Linked DNA regions of Anolis sagrei. The protein of the gene in region 1 purifies or fractionates together with the protein of each later gene. This does not show direct contact. Links are inferred from orthologs where the notes say so. Each region holds a gene or a part of one and is shown on either strand. Other genes may lie near its edges.

Region 1 (11,350 bases):
GAACATGGTCATACAGCCCTGAAAAGTCACACAAGCCGGATGGCGCGCGGAGGCCGCTTGTGAGCCCGCGCGCGCCATCCAATGGGCTCCGGCGCCCCCCTCCTCCTCCTCCTCCTCCTCCTCTTCCTCCCAGGTGGGAGGAAGAGGAGGAGGAGGAGGAGGAGGAGGGGGGCGCCGGAGCCAGAGCCGGATGGCGCGCGGAGGCCGCTTGTGAGCCCGCGCGCGCCATCCAATGGGCTCCGGCGCCCCCCTCCTCCTCCTCCTCCTCCTCCTCTTCCTCCCAGGTGGGAGGAAGAGGAGGAGGAGGAGGAGGAGGGGGGCGCCGGAGCCAGAGCCGGATGGCGCGCGGAGGCCGCTTGTGAGCGCGCGCGCGCCATCCAATGGGCTCCGGCGCCCCCCTCCTCCTCCTCCTCCTCCTCCTCTTCCTCCCAGCTGGGAGGAAGAGGAGGAGGAGGAGGAGGAGGAGGGGGGCGCAGGAGCCCATTGGATGGCGCGCGGAGGCCGCTTGTGAGCGCGCGCGCGCCATCCAATGGGCTCCGGAGGAAGAGGAGGAGCCAGAGCCGGATGGCGCGCTCAGCAGCAGCCTCCATGCAATTAACGAGCGGAGCTTCAGCTCGTAAAATACATGGGGCTGCTGCTTCGATATTTTTAAACCCTTCCGGGTTTAAAAATATGTTTTGATATCGCTTCGGATATGCAAAAAATAACGATTTTAATACGAATTAACGAATTAACGAAACGAAACCGACAGGCCTAGTATTCAAATGTGGACGTCATTGGGTATTTGTGCCAAATTTGGTCCAGTGAATGAAAATACATCCTGCATATCAGATATTTGCATTACAATTCATAACAGTAACAAACTTACACTTATGATGTAGCAATGAAAATAATGTTATGGTTGGGGGGTCACCACAACATGAGGAACTCTATTAAGGGGTCACAGCATTAGGAAGGTTGAGCACCACTGTGCTAGTGATTCTCCATAATATGTCCGTTCCGCCCACCCCACAACACTCATCCAATTCTCCCTTGTTGCCCAATGTTATTCCAGAAGAAAATTACTACCTCGCCTTCAAGCTCATGTTCCTTCCGTCATAAAACAAATGTCACTGAACATGCTATTAGAGACAGAAAAGAAAAATAAGGCCATCAGCAGAAGTGTGATCAGCTAAACATTCACACCTAACTGCAGCAGGGAAGAGCTCCTTGCCCCACCCCAGCCATTCCACAGATATATAAACTCATTTTTCCTACTTCCAACAGACCTCACACCTCTGAGGATGCTTGCCATAGATGCAGGCGAAACGTCAGGAGAAATGCCTCTAGAACATGGCTCCATAGCACGAAAAAACCCACAAGAACCTAGAAGTGTTGTTGATAGGAGGAAGTGATTCTAGGGATACTTGGCTCGATCTCTCACCTCACCTCACCCAGAAAGCAGAAAAGAGAGAGATAGATGTGGGCGTGTATGTGCCTTCAGGTTACCTGTTCACCTATTAGATAGATAGATAAATAGATAGATAGATGTGGGTGTGTATATGCCTTCAGGTCATCTGTCCACTTATGGAGACCCCATGCATTTCAATAGGGCTTTCTTAAGCAAACTCAGAGGTGGTTTTGGCCCAGTTCCTCAATCTGAAATATAGCCTACAGCACCTGGTAGTCTCCCATCCAAGTTTTTTTTTGTTTTATGTCGTGTCAGGAGCTACTTGAGAAACTGCAAGTCGCTTTTGGTGTGAGAGAACTGGCCATCTGCAAGGATGTTGCCCAGGGGACGTCTGGATTTGATGTTTTTATCATCCTTGTGGTAGGCTTCTCTCATGTCCCCGTATGAGAAGCTGGAGCTGATAGAGGGAGCTCATCTGCCTCTCCCCGGGTCCAAACCTGTGACCTGTCGGGTCTTGAGTTCTGCCGACACAGGGGTTTAACCCACTGCGCCACCGGGGGCTCTTTTCCATCCAAGTGCTAACCATGGCTGTCCCTGATTAGCATCTAAGGCTGGCATGGCCAAACTTGAGCGCTCCCGGTATTTTGGACTTCAACTCCCACAATTCCTAACTGTTAGGAACTTTTTTTCCCATGTCAGGAGCGACTTGAGAGACTGCAAATCGCTTCTGGTGTGAGAGAATTGACTATCTGCAAGGATGTTGCCCAGGGGATGCTCGGATGTTTTGATGTTTTACCATCCTTTTGGGAGGCTTCTCTCATGTCCCTGCATGGGGAGCTGGAGCTGACAGAGGGAGCTCATCTGCAGTCTCCCCGGATTCGAACCGGGGGCTCCTGTTAGGAACTGTGGGCCTTGAAGTCCAAAACATCAGGAGGGCCCAAGTTTACCCATGCCTGCTCTAAGACCAGACTTACAGCCACCCATTGGATTTCATAGGGTTTTCAAAGGCAAAGAATAGTCAGAGCTCTTTTTGCCACTTCCTTCCTCTGAAATAGAGTCCATCGGCAGTCTCCCAGCCAAGAAACAGCCAGGGCTGACCCTGCTTAGCTTCCAAGATCAGTCCAGAGTTTGGTACTTTTTGGGTGCTTATGCCCTCAGAAGACATATAGTAATGTATTTCCTTCTCATCATAGGTTTAACCCAGGCATGGGCAAACTTGGGCCTTTTGGGTGTTTTGGACTCCAACTCCCACCATTCCTAACAGCCTCGGGCCCTTTCCTTTCCCCCCTCAGCTGCTTAAGCGGCTGAGGGGGAAAAGGAAAGGGTTTGAGGCTGTTAGGAATGGTGGGAGTTGGAGTCCAAAACACCCAAAAGGCCCAAGTTTGCCTTTTTAATCCCATATTTACTTCTATTATTATTATTTCTAGGAAAATAAGTATTGGGATTGTAAGTGTGGCTGTGAGTTCTAAGTGGACTCACAGAGTTCCTGCATGTCCTGTGTGCATGAAAAAGTGTGGTGTTAGCGAATGACCATGGCTACCCAGAGTGAATGCCCTCTGTACATGCCCAGAAGCATGGGCAACTCCAGGGTCCCCAGAGTTGAGTGCCCTCTGCATATGCCCAGAAACACTCCTGCCTACTGAATATGAAGGGGAACTTTTCCCAGATTCGACAAAACCACTTCCCAATCTGGGCAACTCCAGAGTCCCCAGAGTGAATGCCCTCTGCACATGCCCAGAAACACTCTTGTGTTCTCAAAAAACCTCCAGATTCGACTAAACCACTTCCCAATCAGGGCAACTCCTGAGTCCCCAGAGTGAATACCCTCTGCATATGCCCAGAAACACTCCTGTCTACTGAAGATGAAGGGGAACCGTTCCCAGATTTGACTAAACCACTTCCCAGTCAGGGCAACTCCAGAGTCCCCAGAGTGAATGCCCTCTGCACATGCCCAGAAGCATCTTGCGTCCTCAAAAAATCTCCAGATTTGACTAAACCACTTCCCAATCAGGGCAACTTCAGAGTCCCCAGGCTGAGTGCCCTCTGCATATGCCCAGAAACACTCCTTCCTACTGAAGATGAAGGGGAACCATTCTCAGATTCGACAAAACCACTTCCCAATCTCGGCAACTCCAGAGTCCCCAGAGTGAATGCCCTCTGCACATGTCCAGAAGCATTCTTGCCTACTGAAGAAATGGAAGAACCGTTCCCAGATTCGACAAAACCACTTCCCCATCAGGGCAACTCCAGAATCTACAGAATGAATGCCCTCTGCACATGCCCAGAAGCACTCTTGCCTCCGAAGAAGCAGAAGAACCGTTCCCAGATTCGACAAAACCACTTCCCAAGCTGGGCAACTCCAGAATCGACAGAATGAATGCTCTCTGCACATGCCCAGATGCATTCTTGCCTACTCAAGAAGAAGGAGTACCATTTCCTGATTCGACAAACCCACTTCCCAATCAGACAACCTCAGTGATGTCCTGACGCAGCGTGGAAGCCTCTCTGCGTATGCTCAGGGGCACTCTTGTGCACTTAAGGAAGAGGAGAACAAAAGCACCCTCCAACCCCCCAGATTCGACACAAGCTCCCTCCCAAACACAGCAACCGGCTTCCCTGACAACCGAAGGGGACAAACAAGGCCCTGGCTGTCTCCAACCCTTCCTTGAAGCGCGTGCCACCCGCTAGTGTGGACGCGAATCCCGCTTTAGCCCCCGATCCCGCCCAATGGGAGCAAGGGGGAGGCGGAACGCACCTTGCTCTTGACTTCCATGGGGCCGAGGCCGCGGCTTCCTCCGCCTCCTCCCCGCTGGACCCGGTTCATGCCGCCCGAGGGTCGCTCGGACTGGAAGCTGGGGCTCCTTCTCCGCCGATCCCGAGGAAGGGAAAGGTCCGCCCGAGAGCAGCAGCGCCGCAGCAGCTCCAGCCGCCGCCTCCTGGCACCTGCAGCTCCAAGGAGGAGGAGGAGGAGGGGAGGAGGAGGAGGAAGCAGCGCGCATGCGCGGACGCGGAGCCGCCCCGCGGATCCACCACAAGGAGGGGAAAGCCCCTGCACACCTGCGAGCCCCGGAGGCGCATGCGCACCTGTTGCTTCTTAGAGGGAGAGAAAAAAGAAAGGCACCTGCTAGGGAAGGCAGGATCCAGACTGCGCCTGCGCCATTGGGACAGGGAAGGAGGAGGTGTTGTGTTAGACAGCAGGGAGAGAAATACCTGCCGGGCTGGATTCCAAAGAAAGGGAGAGGACGGCGCATGCGCGGCTGCTGATAGTTTTTTTTTCCAATGGAAAGGTGCACTACGTTGTAACAACAACTTTATCTATATACCACCCTCTTTCCCCAATGGGACTTAGGGCGGTTAATGCAGGATTAATTGTAGGATTAATGCAATTTGGCACCGGTATGGACTCCTGGTAGTTGTATCTTGGTAGAGAGGGCTTGTTAAACTACAACTCCCAGGATTCCATAGCACTGAGCCATGGCATTTAATGAAGTATCAAACTGCATTAAGTCTATAGTGCAGATGGATCCCTAGTTACTGGAGCAACAGATTTTCAGAGCCTTGGAAACCCATTAGTTTTCATCCGTAGAAAAACAGTGCATTGTTTTTCTTTGCAGAGTTGCCCCATCATTCATGAGAATAAGGTAAAAGTTTACCCCTGACATGAAGTCCAGTTGTGGTGCTCATCTCCATTTCTAAGCCGAAGGGCCGGCATTGTCTGTAGACACCTCCAAGGTCATGTGGCCAGCATGACTGCATGGAGCACTGTTACCTTCCTGCAGAAGCATTACCTATTGATCTACTCATATTTGCATGTTTTCGAACTGCTAGGTTGGTAGAAGCTGGGGCTGACAACAGAAGCTCACACCGCTCTCCGAATTTGAACCTGCGACCTTTCAGTAAACAAGCTCAGCAGTTCAGCGCTTTAACCCACTGCGCCACCGAGGGCTCCTTCATGACAATAAACATGACTCTAAATAGTTACAGCATTTATAATCTTTTAACTTTAGTAACAATTTGTGATCTCAATTGAAAAGAGTTCCAACCAAAGTCTTGAAGTGCTTCAGAGAAAAAATAAGAATACTTCAATAATGTATTTTGGGGATGGGAAAGAAGAGCTGGGCATGTTTAGCCTGAAGAAGAGAAGGCTAAAAGGAGACATGATAGCCACATATAAATATGTGAGGGGAAGTCATAGGGAGGAGGGAGCAAGCTTGTTTTCTGCTTCCCTGGAGACTAGGACGCAGAACAATGGCTTCAAACTACAGAAAAGGATATTCCACCTGAACATGGGGAAGAACTTCCTAACTATGAGAGCTGATCAGCAGTGGAACTCTTTGCCCCAGAGTGTGGTGGAGACTCCTTCTTTGGAGGCTTTTAAAGAGAGGCTGGATGACCATCTGTTGGGGGTGCTTTGAATGCAATTTTCCTGCTTCTTGGCAAGGGGTTGGATTGGATGGCCCACATGGTCTCTCCCAACTCTATGATTCTAAGAAATTCATGAAAAAAAGTTTGTTTACTGATTAAAAAGGCTGTTTATGGTTTCATCTCCATATCTACTCAAACAATATTGTTACAGGATAAACAACATCAAGGGTGATAATTTACTTGATTTTCTTCCAACATGACACATTTTATGACCTTCAGCAGTGGCTGGATCCACACAATGTGTAGATCTACATAATGCAATTGTCCTGCATTGAACTACATTATACGGATCTACATTGACCATATTTTGCAAGTTCAAATTGAATTATATGGCAGTATAGATCCAGCTTGTGCCCTGCACAGAATAAATCTGTTTCTAAACAAAAAAATGGACACGAATCTGATATCAGAAATGGCAACATTTAGAAGCCAGTGGGAAGACATTTCAGTCTCGCCGTTTATTCCATAGATCACCTGAAAAGTTACCCAGAACCTCAATTTGTGGCTGATACTGGATGAGACACACACACACACACACACACACCCGGCACACAGAAGACTGGGCGACTTGGAAGGCGCTGAACAGACTGCGCTCTGGCACCACGAGATGCAGAGCCAACCTTAAGAAATGAGGTCACAAATTGGAGTCCATGACATGTGAGTATAGAGAAGAGCAAACCACAGACCACTTACTACAATTCATCCAGAGCTCTGCCACATGCACAATGGAGGACCTTCTTACAGCGACACCTTTAGGAGGCACTCCAAGTGGCCAGCTTCTGGTCAAAAGACTTAGTATAATGCCAAGTTTTTAACTTTGTGTTTTAAATACATTCTAATTGTACCCTCTACTTGCTTCTGATATGATAAATAAATATCTGAAAAGCTCCTTCTTTAAATAATACAGATTCAAAGGGGCAATGTTGTTAAAACAGTTGATCTGAAACTTCTCCAGAAGTATAGTGTTTATCTATCTGAGTTTCAATTGATGTATGCTCTGCTGCTGCTGTTGTTGTTAATTAATAGAACAAATCTAGGACACTTGTGTTTTCACAGACCAGTTCTTTTGTGAAGCCATTACTTTTTAGCATATATCTGCATATCTTTAATTCCTTAACAATTCCTTGTCATAGAGGACATGCTTTGTAATTTCTCTCCATCTCAGCTGCTGCCTACTGTTCTTTATTTATTGGGCTGGATATATGGTAGTTGTATTTTGAGTAATCTTATTAAAGTAAGTAGAACTTACACTAAAAAATGACTTTAGGCCTATTGTGGCATTATTCACAGCCAAAAGTATTTTAGTCTGTTTCAGCTTGAAAAGACATAAATGGTACATTTGAAAGTGACTGAGGAATAGCAAATTCCTAATGCAATCGTTTGTGGATTATCAGATGCAAACCCTATTGATTTCATTACGCTTATCAGCCAGTTATTACTGAAATTCAAGAAAACAGTGTTAATCTTTAAAATACTGTTATGACAGTTTTTTTGTGTCTGCTATAAAAGGCTGAATTGTGAAATACTTTTAGAAAGAGTCTTTTGAATTCTTATGTAGGTGTTTCTAAGTCTCCTTATGGAAACAGATATATGAACCCAAATGCATCTTCATTCACTGAATGACACGCCCGTGTCATTCAGTGAATGAAGATGCATTTGGGTCTGGAAGTGTGTGCTGCAAAATTTATGCTGGACTAAAGAGTTTGAAATCTTTCTCGTGGTTTAACACTTTAAATATTCTTCTTTCAAGTAAAAGACAGGTGGACTAATGGGGAATCTATGTGAACACTAAGGCAACAACATTTAATTGGATGGCACAAGTGTGTATCAGGGTGGATCTACACTGGAAATAATGCAGTTTGACACCACTATAACAGCCTTTGCTCAATGATATGGAATTCTGAGAGTTGTAGTTTTACAAGGAGTTTAATCTTCTGTGCCAAAAAGTTCTGGCACCTCACCGAACTACAAGTCTCAGGATTCCATAGCCTTGAGCCAAATCAATTAAAGTTGTGTCAAAATGCATTAATTCTGCAATATAGATGCACTCTTGACTGTAATTCTGTTTGGGAATGAACTATATTAACTCACAACACTTACTTCTGTGTAACCATGGATAGGGCAGGCCTGTTTACAGTTCAAATCTTTTGTCTTGAACTCTAACCTCAAACAAATTATTTAAATATATCAAAACTAAACAAAAACAAGTGGAAGGGATCAAAATCAATAGGTATATTGAAGCTGAAAATGAACATAGTTTTGTATACTGGGAATTCATTTGTACATACAAATCAGTTATTTCTTTGATAATTTTTCAGTATAGGGTGGAAGGAATACTTAGGATATGAATGTGTTGCCTATTAATATACATATGTGTAAGCTGTGTATATGTCCAAAAGGTCTATTACATTTTTCAGGAGTGTTCGAAAAAGTAACTTTCCCAAACTATACAGATCACATGGAGAGGATTTTCATGTCAGTCGAATTGACCTGCTTCTGAGACGCAAAAGCCGTTCAGTTGAACTCTGAGTGCTTATACTCATCATGTGGAAGGTTTTATCACTCCAGGTTTATTAGGTTTCTATGAAGGAAGTTTATTTCTCCCCCTTGCATTCTTCGCATGGTTGGAGTTCCAGATAAGGAGGGTGTGCCCGAAAGGTTGCTTGAAGTCAGCAAGGTACATTCATAAGGCAGAAATCTTGGGACCTCACCTCTTCAAAAATATTAATCATCGGTTGCCCAACATCACACAAATGACTTGGTACTGTAGTCAACCAAGGAAAGGAAGCAAGTTCAGATAGTAAAGAAACAGGCAGGTCTTCTTTCCTGGGGAAAGCACAAGATTAGTGAGCTATTTTAGTCACAAGCTCTGCAAAACCTGTGAGTCAGACTTTGCTCAAAGGTTTTTTTTCTGCCCCCAAAGAAAGGAATGTTCTGTTTCTGCCGACCTGTTCAGAGCCAGATGAGGAAACGTGCTTTTTAAATTTAATGCGAACATGTACCATTCTAAAGTAACCCAGGACTTGTAAGAAGAAGGCTATATTTCTATTGCATAATTTGAGCATTTTATATACAAATCTGAAATCCTGTACCACTTATTTAGGTGTGAGTCATATTAACCATAATGGGATTTTCTTTGTGATGGACACTTGTAGGATTGCATTGCAAAATAAAAACATACCATGAAAAGATTTCATTTTAAAGTGCCATTTGTTTATGTACATATTTCTACTTTACCCGATATATAAGCAGATTTCAGAGTATGGTATAACAAATCAAATCAAACTATAACATTTGAATGACATTTCTGAAGCACTTTCTGTTTTGAAAATTGACAACTCAAAAATTAGTCTACCAAGAGTAATACATTGAAAAACAAATCTTGATCTTATCAAGTCTCTAATGCAGTGTTTCTCAACCTTCCTAATGCTGCGACCCCTTAATACAGTTCCTCATGTTTTGGTGACCCCCAAACATAACATTATTTTCATTGCTACTTCATAACTGTCATTTTTGCTACTGTTATGAATCATAATGTAAATACCTAATATGCAGGATGTATTTTCACTCACTAGACGAAATTTGGCACAAATACCCGATACACCCAAATTTGAATACTGGTGGAGTTGTTGGGGGATTGGTTTTGTCATTTGAGAGTTTTAGTTGCTGGGATTTATAGTTAACCTACAATGAAAGAGCATTCTGAACTCCACCAATGATGGAATTGAACCAAACTTGGCACACAGAATTCCCATGACCAACAGAAAATGTTGGAAGAGTTTGGTGGGCATTGACCTTGAGTTTGGAGTTGTAGTTCACCTATATCCAGAGAGCACTGTGGACTCAAACAATGATGGATCTGGAGCAAACTTGGCATGAATACTCAATATGCCCAAATCTGAACACTGGTGATGTTTGGGGGGGGGGGGGGGGGTAGACCTTGACATTTGGGAGTTGTCATTGCTGGGATTTATCATTCACCTACAATCAAAGACCATTCTGAATCCCACAAACAATAGAATTGGGCCAAACTTTCCACACAGAACCCCCATGCCTTGAAGGGACTCCAGCCTCACTTGTTTTCTCTCACCACGTCTGTTTCCAAAAAGGAATTCCACGTCTGTTTCCAAAAAAGGAAGAGAAGGACAGGTGGAGAGACTTTCAGCCTTCTCTGCCAAAGGCGTTCCTAAGACTATCAGAAATATGTTTTCTGATGGTCTTTGGCAACCCCTCTGAAACCCCATCATGACCCCCCCCCCAGGGGTCCCAACCCCCAGGTTGAGAAATGCTGCTCTAATACCTAGTCTGGGTTTAACTTGGCACTGAAATAAGGACAAGGTTGGTGCCATTTGGGTCTGCAAGAGGAAAGCATTTCAAAACCAGGGTGTTGTAGCTGTAAATTCTGTCCATATTTATTCAAAAGTACACGCAATGAGTTCCAGAGTAAGCACACCAGTTGTGGAAAGTATGCCAGTTAAAGGACTGCAACTCCCAGCGTTCCACACCATTGATTAGGCTGATTAGGGCTTCTGTGAGTGCAGTGCAATAACATCTAGGTCAGCGATTCCCTACCTCTGGGCCTCCTCATGTTTTGAACTTCAGTTCCCAGAATGTTTGACCATTGACTAAATTGTGTGAGATGGTAGGGAACTGAAATCTAAAATAGAATTTGGGAATCACCATTTTAGAGGGTTACTCAATTCCTACCCTTGATTTATGTCCATATAAGAACTTAGAAAATAAATATTTTCTGAGTGCTGAATGACTAGCCTTTTTGGGTGGAGACTGAATGTTCTGGCATGTGCCACCTCACCACCATGAGCCTCTGGCTTTGTAGAGTTATCATTGTGTACAGCATTAAATGGTTTGCATTCCACTGCCGCAAATGTCATTTTTGAGTGTTAGCAGCAATGAACAGCTATCTTAATTGGCTTCCAAAGGGAGGAGTAGTTGAGTTAGTATGTTGGCAGCAAAGACAACAGAGTCTTCTTGAGACTCATCTTGAAGCATAAAGCATTCACGGACTAAAGTCTTTGTGTGATGCAGTCATTAGTTGCTATTTCAGAAAACATCTAAGGGAGACTTTCCAGCATGCCACAGCTGAACTGGCAAAGATAACCAAGCTTGATTCTATTTCTTTTACTGAAATAAGAAAGTAAGCTTATGTTGGATTATAGCACCCACAGTTCCCAAGTTTCTGTGAGCCATAGTATATAAACATGATTTTTAAAGCTCTGTGCTAAACCATTGGACATTTCAGTGTCTGCATGTGGATGGAGAGTGGATTTCAGAGGAAGGTTTTGTTTAACACTGAAAATGATTTTTTTTGCTGCTGTTCCCTTCAGATGGAATGTCATCCTGCAGGAGTTGATGTATTCAGTGATACTAAGATGATTGTGTATGACCATGTACTGCCGTTATCAATAATCTTTGTTCTTATTTTGCAAACATTGAAGGTGCGATCCTATATGTTTTGTGGCAAAGTTCACAGATCATCTTACTACACAAGTGTAAGAACAGCACTGTGCTCTTCAG
Region 2 (11,652 bases), on another chromosome or scaffold:
TCATTATCTGCATGTAGACAGTATTCCAAAATGTGTGTATGTGGGTGGGTGAGGGCAAAATTTGAAACACTTTTGATTCCAGGCATTTTGAATAAGGAATACTCAACCTGTATTTACAATGTATGCCAAGGGTTCTGCAAGTACAATTCAGCAAAGCTTTGCAGGAAAAAATTTTGGGGGGGGGGGGGGAGTATGGGGACAAACAGACAACCAAAGAGCAAATTTTGATTTTACTATAGGTTGAGCACTTCTCTGATGTGTAAGCATACCTGCTGTAGTATCCCACTATTCATAAATCCTCAGGCTCTCTTCAGCAGTCATTAGAATTGTCTGTCATTTTACATAAGGGTTCCATTTTACTATGTCATTGTATATAATGAGACTTTTTACTTTTTCTACCTCCACAACATGAGATCAGTGTGTTTTGCCTGAAGCTGGAGATTAATTCCAGTTTAACACCTGTGATTTATATTTTCAAAAATAGGGAGACACAATTGCTAAATGTCACATTTCCCAACAGTCTTCACTGCAAAGTGATAACATCTGTGGGAGTCTAATCCATTTAAATCAGTTTGACTGTGCCAGATTTCATTTAAAAGCTTTGACTGTACAGACGTTCCTGTTTCAGCATCCCTTGTCTTCCTCAGAGTGTCTGCTCACTATTTTGGTTGGTTCTAATTCAGGGAAAGCATGAATGTGGTTTGTGACTTTTTTATCCTTATGGAGCAACATGGCTTAACTTTGCTCTATTTTTAGAATAAGTAGAATCATGGAATTCAAAGATCAAGAGTTTGGAAGCCAAACCTACAAGGAGCACCTTAGGAAGCTGGGTCTATTTACTTTAGAGAAAAGAGGACAGGATAGCCATGTTTAAATATTGAAAAAGGATGTCAATTGAAGGGGAATGGGCAAGCTTGTTTCCTGCTGCTTTGGAGACTAGGAAATGAAGCAACGGATTCAAACTGCAAAAAAAAAATCAATCTAAACATTAGGAAGAACTTCCTGGCAAGCAGTGGAATGGGCTAGTGCCTCGGAGTGTAGTGGAGTCTCGTTCTATTAATGTTTTTAAACAGAGGGTGGATGGCCATCTGCTGGGGATGCTCTGATTATGTATTCTTGCCTGGCACAGGGTTGGACTGGATGATCTTTAGGATGTCTTCCACTTCTGATTCTATTAATATAGAAGAATACAAATACTCAAGAACATATCTATTTCGGAATAAAAAAAATATGTGGGTATTCACATCATATTTGTAAACACTCATCCTTTTTTAAAAAAAGTTATTATGAAGCCAGAAAATTTGAAATTTTAGCTACCTGGCAGATACCATAAGCCGCTCCAAACCCTTTAGAAGAGATGGTGCAGGATACAAATAAAGTATTATTATTATTATTATTATTATTACCGAGAAAAATAACCTGGCAAGTTCCACTAACCACGAATGTCCCGAGATGAGAAATCAGGATCTCACTGGCATAAAGACAAAAGACAGAAGCTTGAGGCTGGGAATTTCTCACACTGCAACAAAGGCTCAAAGTGTGTAAGTGTACAGAATATGGAAAAGGCAAATAACTTTATATACATAGAATACCCACTTGAAATTCCCTCCCAGCCCTCTGATTGGTCCATGCAAAAAAGCCAGTGGCGTTTTCCTGACCCCTGATTGATCAGGGGGCGGGACCTTGCCGGCTTGCTCTCTGATTGGTCAGGGAGGTGGTGATGTGGTTGGGATTCCCCACCCAGCTAGGTGGAGAAGCCCTGGGGCCTCCAATGGTGAGGCAAGGGAGGGCTCTGGGCAGACATGGCGATGTTAATGAAAGTGTGGAAAACTGAATGAGGGGATTATGTGGGAATCGAGTCCAGGATTCAGGAACAATGGTGACTTGCCAGACCCAAGTACTCTCCTAGGAGGGAGACAATGACAAAGTCCAGTATGTCAATGTGAGACTTGAGTGGATCATCTGTGTCTCCTCCTAGGTCATTGTCTCATGATTGGTGTCCATCTCTCAGAGGGAAGCTTCAGGTGGCTGTTTGTCGGGAAGGGTCTTTGTCACCTTGATGGTTATCCAAAACTGGCCGCGGGCTGGGAGGGATCCTGGAGTGAAGATGTTCAGAGTTTATTGGAATACGCTTCAGTTTTACCTTCAAAGTTTATAATTTCATAAATAAATACCGATGAAAAGAGAATGTGTCTTATTTCATACATGTTTAGAGGCGGGAGAGGGTTGATTGCCTTATTTTTGTTATATGATGTGATGTGCACATGTGCAGGTTTGCAGTGGGAAAAATAATAAAAAGAAAATAGTTATAGATAGTGGGGCGAAGTGGAGGAGAAAGCAATGAAGTCTAGCGAGGGAGGAAGAGAGATATAGTGTATCTCTGGCAGTGAGGCAGGTTGATACTCTGTGGCACCAGCCATTGCTGGCTTCCCTGGGCTCTGGTTGTGCGCTGCTCCAGAAAGATCCCAGTAAACCAGCTGAGTTGGCAGGGTTTTTGGAAAATGGGGGTTATGCGTCGCTGATCAGGAGTGCTTAGGTGCAACTGGGGAGACTCAGTGAGGTGAGGGCCATGGCAACTCATGGAGGCCCTCCGCCCCCAGGAAACTACAACTCCCGCAGATACTGCATTTCCATGGTGGTGGTGGTGGTGGTGGTGGGGGGGGGGATTGGTGTTTGACAACAAAGCCATCAGTAAAAAAATAGCTTTGGCTTTGTGCAGACAGGAGGATGGAGGAAATAAGCCCAACATGTCTTCTAGTAATCCAGTACCTTAATATTTCTATCCCCATCCAATTTATTTGTAAAGAATCCACTTTATGTTGGTCAAACAGGGATCACCTTCCTGACAGTACAGTAAATAAAAAATCCTCAACGTTGGAATAAATCATATGCACTCCTTGGAAGTAGTCCAGTAAAAAACTACTTATTAACTGGGTGTCTTACCAAACCAAATATCAGTCATCCCTTCAATTTGGAGACAGAATGACAGATCAGGAGAGTGTTTGTATCCAGGGACACGGGCAAAATTATTATCAAACCAGAAGAAGGATTTATGCAGGCTTTCTGGAGTTTCCAGTTTTGTGTTGCTTAACAATGTGTTCTGTACTACAGAGCAGTGTCACAAAACAGGTGAAGGAGGACAGGTCCCACCCTGGGATTTAGTTTCAGTTCTTGCTCAGCCATCACAGGGGCCTCAGTGAGCAGCTTGCTAGGGAAAAAGAAGAAAGAAAGAAAAGAAACAAGGACTAGATGAAAGAGACAGGAAATCCCCTGGGGTTAAATTCACAATCTCTGTAATTCAGCTGAAACTAAATCTATTGGCTCATATTTCTTCTGATACTTTGCCCGGCACACATTGACTGCTTCTCCTGAGCTATGACTCACATCTCAATTACAAATCAACTGGTTCTGTGCAATTCCCCTTCTGAAGTCGGATAATATGGAAGAAATAACACATCACAACCTGGTGCAGATGTATTAAAGGCTAATGTTTTAAATGCAATGCCACAAAGAATGGCACCTTTTGGAGAAATTAGTCCTTGTTTTCTTTGTATTGTTTACTTCCAGTTGCCAGAGTGAGAGTGTTCCTGTGCCTTTAATGCTTGTGTAGAAGAGGACATTTTGGTGGATGTTGAATGTCAGACAAGCAGGTAAGAAGGTGACATACTCTGTTTTGCTCTGCACAACCATTTAAGGTCCAGGAGTCTTTCCAGTTTCACTCTGCCAACCCTTGTATTACCGTGTATTAACTACAGCCCGTGTGGTTACTAACTAAAAATATCCTCACACAATAGTTGTCACTGAATAATAGTCACACGCCCATTTTTAGGGTGGGAAATTAGTATTTTTCTGTTCCTCACAATAAGTGCACCTTTTATTCACTTGCCTGCACATCTGCTTGGGCGAGTGAAGGAAGGGTGCAACTCACCCATGTGCCTGCTTCCTTGGAGAGATGGGGTTTCACTTGGCTGGTGAAGCTCCAAGTGAAACCCCATAGTTGTAAATGGGGCAGGCATGTAGGCAGGGGAAGCTTCACTCGACCACACACCTGCCCCCTTTCTAGCTACAGGGCTTCACTTGTCTGGCAGCCAAGTGAAGCCCCATAGCTGGAAATTTTTTCACCCTGTAATAGTTGCCACAATGTAATAGTCACAAAAAAGCAAAAAAGGTGAGAAAAGTGTGACTATTATGCAGTGAAATATGGTACTTTTAAAAATATACTAAACTAGCTTATATACCTGGCATTCCCAGGTGTTGATGGTACCACTGCCTGTCTACTTTCTCCCTTCTTCAGCTCTGAAAAGGCTATTTCACAATGTTTCCCTTTTCTTTCTCCCCCACTCCCTCCTATCATTGCCTTTCCTTTCTTTATTCTCTTTCTTTCTTTCTGCTCGTAATTGTGTCCCCTTTCTTTCCGAGTGACATCACAGAGGACACCTTTATATAGCCACAAACAATCCAGTGACATCACAAAGGGCCACTTCACCTAATAACCTCCTTTGTGGTACAAATGGAAAAATATGCATGCATACATATATACTTTGAAATATATACAGAGAGAAACGATGATTATGATCATGGTTAAACAAATGATAGGTCTCCCGCCTTCATTCACTGAGGCTTGCAACCTTTAATCTGAATTTGTTTACTCAACCATAGATCCTATCAAATGATGTAGTTTACTTCCTGGTATGCCTCTTATTGTTGTAATAGTCCTTTTCAAAACATTTTGTGTCCAGTCGTAGCCTAAAGGTACACTTGAAGTTTGTTCCTTTAGTTCCTGGTAGGATAACATATCTCATGCTCTTGTCACCACAAAGTTCACAAAAAAGTTTCTTGCATGAATAGGAAGCTGTTTTGTGACACCTTTAAAGGCTAATAATAAAGCTGTTTCCTGCATGGGATGATGAAAGAAACATCATTGGCACCGATAATTATTACCTGTTAAAGATTTGTCGGCTTTGAGGGGGAGATGGAAGAAATAGGCAATGATTCCACTGAGTCACAACTACAAATATTTTCTTGTCACTGTGACCCACATTGGCCCCATGTATGCTGCCATATAATGCAGCTTGACACTGCATTTTATGGCAATGTAGATGGGGCCATAGCTATACCCACATTTAATTAATGTAGTGGAGCACTGACTTCTAAAAGCTACCCTGGAAAATGAAATTCTCCCTTCATGTTTAGAATAAGAAGCATCGTTCAGTTAGGATCCCATGGGGCATTCTTTGGCTCTCTAAGGGACCCCTACAATACGGCTTAGCTTCTGCCAGCCTAGCAGTTTGAAAACATGCAAATGTGAGTAGATGAATAGCTACTGCTCCAGAAGGAAGGTAACGGTGCTCCATGCAGTCATGCCAGCCACATGACTTTGGAGGCGTCTACGGACAACACCAGCGCTTCGGCTTAGAAATGGTGACAAGCACTAACCCCCAGAGTCAGACATGACTAGACAATGTCAGGGGAAAACCTTTACCTTTTCTTTTTCTGCTCCAGAAATAAGGCCGCAGCACAAAAATTAGAAGAGAGGAAATACAATTTGATTTTGAAACTAATGCAGAACTTGGGTTTGGGTCTTAACAGTCAATTGGCTTAAAATGGGGTGGGCAGAATATAGAGAGAGCTAGTATAGTGGCTTAAGGATGCATCTACACGGAAGAATTGATGCATATTGACACCATTAACTGTCATGTAGTTTTGCAAGGTCTGTAGCCTTCTCTGCTGCTGCTAAGTATTGGGAAATCACCAAACTCCCTGGATCCTATCGCATGGCAGTAAAGTAGTGTCAGAAAGAATTAATGATGGGGTTTTTGTAAGTTAAAGATTAACTGTATGGCCATGTTCCAGAAGCATTTTCTCCTGACGTTTCGCCTGCATCTATGGCAGGCATGCTCATTACAGTGTAGTGTGAAAAATACACCCCCTACTCTCCCCTCCCCTCCCCATTGGCTCAGAAGGAGCATGCACTTCTGATTCCAATTCTCCCTTCCTCTCCCCCCCCCCCCCCCCGCTCCCTCTGCTCTTTTTCTATTGGCCAGAGCTAAAGAGTGAGAGATAGAAGAGAAAGGCGGAGGAAGAAGGAGGAGGAGGGGGGGGGGTATGAGCTCTGACTCCCGATTGGCTGCGGTGAATAATGACTCAGGAGCCGGGTTGAAAGAAGGCGCCGCGCTAACCCCGCCCTTTCGCCGGGGCTCATTTGCATATCCGGCGGGAACGCCCCCTCCCGGAGGTATCCAGGAAGGCGAGGCGGCGGCGCTGCTGCTGCTGCTGCTGCTCGAAGGGCGAGATTGTGCGGTAAGCAACGAGATATGGAGAGCCGGAGGAAGGGGGGGGGGGGAGAGAGAGAAAGGAGAGGGTGGGCGTGGAAATAGGGCCAAGGCTGCAAGTAAGGGGGTGGGGTTGGGAGGGAGAGAAAGAGAGAGATCGAGGGAGAGAGAAAGAAAGAAAGAAAAGGGAAGAGGCAAGCTTTCCTTCCTTCCTTCCTTCCTTCCTTGTGGGGTGGGGTTACAGCTTTGCCTCCCTGCTGGAAGGTAAGTTTGCAGCCGGGCTTTGCTGAAGTGTGTGTTTTGGGGAGGGTATGGGAACAGATTTGGGGTGCTTCTCTTTTGACCTCAAGTATGAGGGGGATGGGGTAGAAGGCCAGGGTTTGGGGGAGGGGGGCTGTCTGGAGCCTGACACTTGCTGTGTACTCCAATCAGCTCTCTTGTTAGGATCTGATTGAGGGTGCATCCACACTGCTGAATGAATGCACTTTGATACCACTTTAACTACCATGGTTCAATGCTTTGGGATCCAGGGAGTTGTGGTTTCATTAGGTCTGTAGCCTTCTCTGCCAGAGAGTGCTGGGCTTCATCAAACTACAGCTCCCAGGATTCCATAGCATTGTGGCATAGCAATTAAACTGGTGCTGGACCGCATTAATTCAACAGTGTAGACCAGGCATGGGCAAACTTGGGCCCTCCATGTATTTTGGATTTCAACTCCCACAATTCCTGTTAGGAATTGTGGGAGTTGGAGTCCAAAACACCTGGAGGGCCTAAGTTTGCCCATGCCTGGTGTAGATGCACTCGCAAACACTAGGACACAAGAGTTTTTGGGTGGATGGGGTTGGATCTGACAGTATCTCAGGTTGGATGAGGCTTTGCTAAAGGTGAGGGTGGGCCGACCTTGGGGAGCCTGCCATTGTGGGCTGAGAGACTTACCTGGGTGAAAGGAACTAGTTCCAGGTGTTAGGTTTCCGGGTGTGGTGCGGCCTTTCTGGTGCTTTGTTCGCCTGGCCTTGCAGTGTGGCTTGAAACCGAAGGTATTCTGGGAGGTGGTTTGCTCTTCTCCCTATAAGGACACTTTTGTTTGCACAGGTGCCAGGGTGAGCAGCAAAGCAAGGCTATAACCTCGCTCCCCGTGGCTATTATTTGTTTCAGGTTGCTCTCTTTTTTTCCTTAATGCCACTTTATGAGTTGACGAAGGCCAAGGTAGTCATTTGGCATAAAAGTGCTTCCTTTTGTAAGCTTGCTTGAATAGAATAAAAGTGCTTGGCAGAAAGCAGACAATGATCTTGCCACAAGACAGAGATTTGAGGGTTAATTTATGCAATGAGAGAAAGCCAATGCTTTGGCACATTTAGGGTGCATCTATACAGTAAGATTAAAACTTCTATACAGTAAGAGGCGCCTTCTTTGGAGTCTTTAAACAGAGGCTGGATGGCCATCTATCGGGGGTGCTTTGAATTCAATTTCCCTGCTTCTTGGCAGAATGGGGTTGGACTGGATGGCCCACAAGGTCTCTTCCAACTCTATGATTCTATAAAACAGTTTGATCCCACTTTTAACTGCCATGATTCAATGCTATGGAATTGTGGATGTTGTAGTTTGGCGAGGCACCAGTACTCTAACAGAGAAAGCTATAGATCTTTTAAAACTAGCTATGGCAGTTGAAGTGGGGTCAAACTGCATTAATTCTATAGTGTAGATGTATCCTTGATCGAGATAGTTCTGAAGTTGGGTTGCTGTGAGTTTTCCAGGCAGTATGGCCATGTTCCAGGAGCATTCCCCCCTGATGTTTCACCCACATCTACGGCAGGCATCCTCAGAGGTTATGAAGTCTGCTAGAAACTAGGCCAGTGAGGTTTATATATCTGTGGAATGTCCAGGTTGGGAGAAAGAACTCTTGTCTGCTTGAGGCAAGTGTGAATGTTGCAATTGGCCAGCTTGATTAGCATTGAATAGCCTGGCAGCTTCAAAGCCTGGCTGTTTCCTGCCTGTGGTATCCTTTTTTGGGAGGTGTTAGCTGGCCCTGATTGTTTCCTGTCTGAAATTCCCTGTTTTTTGACTGTTGCTCTTTATTTGATGTCATGGAGTTTTTAATACAGGCAACCAGTTCTTAAGTTGTAAAAAGCTATCCTGAATTAAGTAGCTATTCTTTATGGAGATGACTGTCGTTCACAAACTGAACCAGGTTTGACTTAAATTAAAGCCTGAGGAAATTTATCTTTGGGCTATAACAACTTGAATTTATCTTCCAGAAAACAATTTCTATAACCTGACGGGATGGGGCATTCTGGGAGTTGTAGTACAAAAATAACTTTGCTGAAGTTGGTTTGATGTAATGACTGCCTCTGCTGATAAGCCTGAGGCAAACTGAAACCTCCATGCAATCTTTTAGCAATTTGAATCGACAGAACTCCCTGCCTAATAAAGGGGCTTGTCTTGTTGAGTTTCGACTACTGAAAATGGCCTTGCTACACCCCCTGAGGCAAAGCAAAGCAGGAAGCTAACAAAATCCCACACCTAAAGGCTTGTAAACTCCTTTCCTGCTTTTCTTGGAGTCTTATTTGGAGGCAGAGCATCCAAACTACAGTTTCTAATGCAAGCGGGATTCTTCAGACAGTAAAGGATTGTTGGCTGAAATAGGGACATTGTTGGAGGAAGGGCAACACATTACCAGGTCTCATTTATTCCAGCCTGTTTTGGTGAAAACTGGATCCCTTTGAAATACTTTCCCTTATTGTTGGGAATAAATCCCTCTGTGGTTGTCTTATTAATAGTCTTTCACCAGGTTTTCATTCCCAGGCTCAGACAATGGCTTATTATTCTAGATCAATGACTTGCTTCCTTTGCCCTTCACCTCTACCTGTTCTGCTGTGAAAATGGTTGTCATCTTTGCCTTTGAGGGACAGCAGACGGCCATGCAATTCTGCCTTCCCCAATCATAGGGCTGGAGATTGTGCAGCCCCCTTGGTGAACTTGGAGTTCAGCTCCCAGCATCCCTGATAAATTCACTCAGAAGTATTGAATGCTGGGAGCTACAGTTACACAACATAGTTCTCATCCTCAACCATCCAGGTATCTCGAGAGGTGTTAAACTAAAAATCTTATGGGTTTTTGTGAGTTTTCCAGATTGTATGGCCATGTTCCAGAAGCATTATCTCCTGTTGTTTCACCTGCATTTATGGCAGGCAGCCTCAGAGGTCACAACCTCTGAGGATGCCTTCCATAGATTCAGGCAAAATGTCAGGAGAGAATGCTTCTGGAACATGACCATACAGTCTGTAAAACTCACAAAAACCCAGTGATACTGGACGTGAAAGTCTTTGACAATACATTAATAATCCTATGTTTGTTGGGGTAGAATGGAGGTTATAATATAACACATCTGGAGGACACTGTGTTGGGGAAGCTTGGTGTATCATTTATGTCTACTCTCCTGATGACACTTATGTCCATAGGACTTTCTTAAATAATGCTTATTTACTTTTGATAGCAGAAATTTAAATGTTATTAAGAGCCCGTGTAGATACCTATTTAACATACATCAGGCATGTTTTGCATCATAGAAGTTCCTAGATGATGACACTTAGGGTTGTGAGAACTTTACCTTGTATCATTAGCAGTGCAAATAGCTTCCATTTTTCTGACTACTTTCCATTATATATATGTACACACATTCTAGTTACTGCATTTATTATTGCAATTTACCCAAAATGTAATACAATTGTCTGGTTGCAGGCCCGTAGCCAGGATTTCATTTCGGGGGGGGGGGGGGGGGCTGAATTTTTTTTCAGGGGGGGTTTCGGGGGGGCCTGAGTTTCGGGGGGGGGGCTGAGTCTGAGTGAAAGAAGGTCTAGCCTAGCAAACCTTTTGTATCATTACCCCAATACCCCCATGCATATGGAATATGTTGAGTATGGTGATCAGATCATGATATGAATAAACATAACAGTTTAAATAATGCACCATTAAGGCCTTTTCGCGAACCACCATGAAAATTTCGGGGGGGGGGGGGGCTGAAGCCCCCCGAGCCCCTCCCCTGGCTACATGCCTGTCTGGTTGATACTGACACGATAAATAAATAAATAACCCCAAATGATAGTAAATTCCTTTCTGATACAGCATTGGTCTCAGTGGATGGATCTACACTGCCATATAATCGAGATTATCAAAACAGATAATCCAGATTATCTGCTTTGAACTGGATTGTATGAGTCTACACTGCCATTTACTCCAGTTCAAAGCAGATAATCTGGACTGACAGTATAGATGTGGCCTGTGTCAAAAACTATAAAGTCTGATTTGTCCCATCATAAATAGTCTTTTTTGTTATCCACCCTTTTTCCTTATCCTTAAACTGAATTTCATATTGTGCAGTTTCTTTGTAGAGCTAATATTCACATTCCATATTGTTTATTGTAAAAAAAAAAAGTCTGCTGCTGTTTAGCTTTAGTAGCACTAATGTGTCTCATATGCTCACAGATCAAACCCCGAAGGGTACACTGTTAAAATAATATGGCTAACTTTTCAATAAATAGGTCTTGTATGGGAGTGTGGGACTATATGCCCAGAAGGGATGATCCATATAGAATTAATGCAGTTGGACACCACTTTAACTGCAATGGATCAATGTTATGGTATCATGGGAGCTGTCATTTTATAAAGTTTTAGCTTTCTCAGACGAAGAGTGCTAATGCCTCACAAACTACAAATCCCAGGATTCAACAGAATTGAACTATGGCAGTTGAAGTGGTGCCAGTTCGCATTAATACTACTGTGTAGATTCACCCTAAAATTCCACATTGTTCATACCCACAACATGATATGATTAGTATACCACTAAATATAAATGAAAGTATTTCCTATAATACGTTGTCAAAGGCTTTCATGGCCGAAATCACCAGAGTGTTGTGTGGTTTCCGAGCTGTATGGTGTGTTCTAGCAGCATTTTCTTCTAATGTTTCATCTGCATCTGTGGCTGGTTTTTCAGAGGGTCATTCTCTGAAGATGCCAGCCAGCCACAGATGCAGGTTTATTTTATGTATTTATCGTGTCATCAGCAACCAGACATTTGTATTACTTTTTTAACAAACACAAACAAACAAGCAGACAAAACACAGAATTTGCAAGCTTGGTAGTTGATTAAATGTCCTTTGACCAGTAGCTGGCTACTTGGAGTGCCTCTGGTGTTGTCGCAAGGAGGTCCTCCATTGAGCATGTGGCGAGGCTCAGGTTGCATTGCAGCAGGTGGTCTGTAGTTTGCTCTTCTCCACACTCGCATGTTGTGGATTCCACTTTGTAGCCCCATTTCTTAAGGTTGGCTCTGCATCTCGTGGTGCCAGAGCGCTCAGATGCAGGTGGAATGTTAGGAGAAAATGCT

The links.
Region 2: the proteins of PARD6B (region 1) and LLGL2 purify together in Homo sapiens (affinity purification with mass spectrometry; 7 studies listed by BioGRID and IntAct, counting the BioPlex papers as one, with this or other methods). This does not show direct contact. The link is inferred for Anolis sagrei from reciprocal best matches to the Homo sapiens genes PARD6B and LLGL2.

Annotation. Positions count from the first base shown.
Region 1 is NC_090024.1:222,694,231-222,705,580, reverse strand, and holds the start of PARD6B (partitioning defective 6 homolog beta), read right to left. Parts: upstream 4,356-11,350; 5' UTR 4,215-4,355; coding exon 4,146-4,214; intron 1-4,145. UniProt on the Homo sapiens protein: Adapter protein involved in asymmetrical cell division and cell polarization processes. Probably involved in formation of epithelial tight junctions.
Region 2 is NC_090022.1:117,841,976-117,853,627, forward strand, and holds the start of LLGL2 (LLGL scribble cell polarity complex component 2), read left to right. Parts: upstream 1-6,198; 5' UTR 6,199-6,300; intron 6,301-6,418; exon of another isoform or gene 6,419-6,536; intron 6,537-11,652. UniProt on the Homo sapiens protein: Part of a complex with GPSM2/LGN, PRKCI/aPKC and PARD6B/Par-6, which may ensure the correct organization and orientation of bipolar spindles for normal cell division.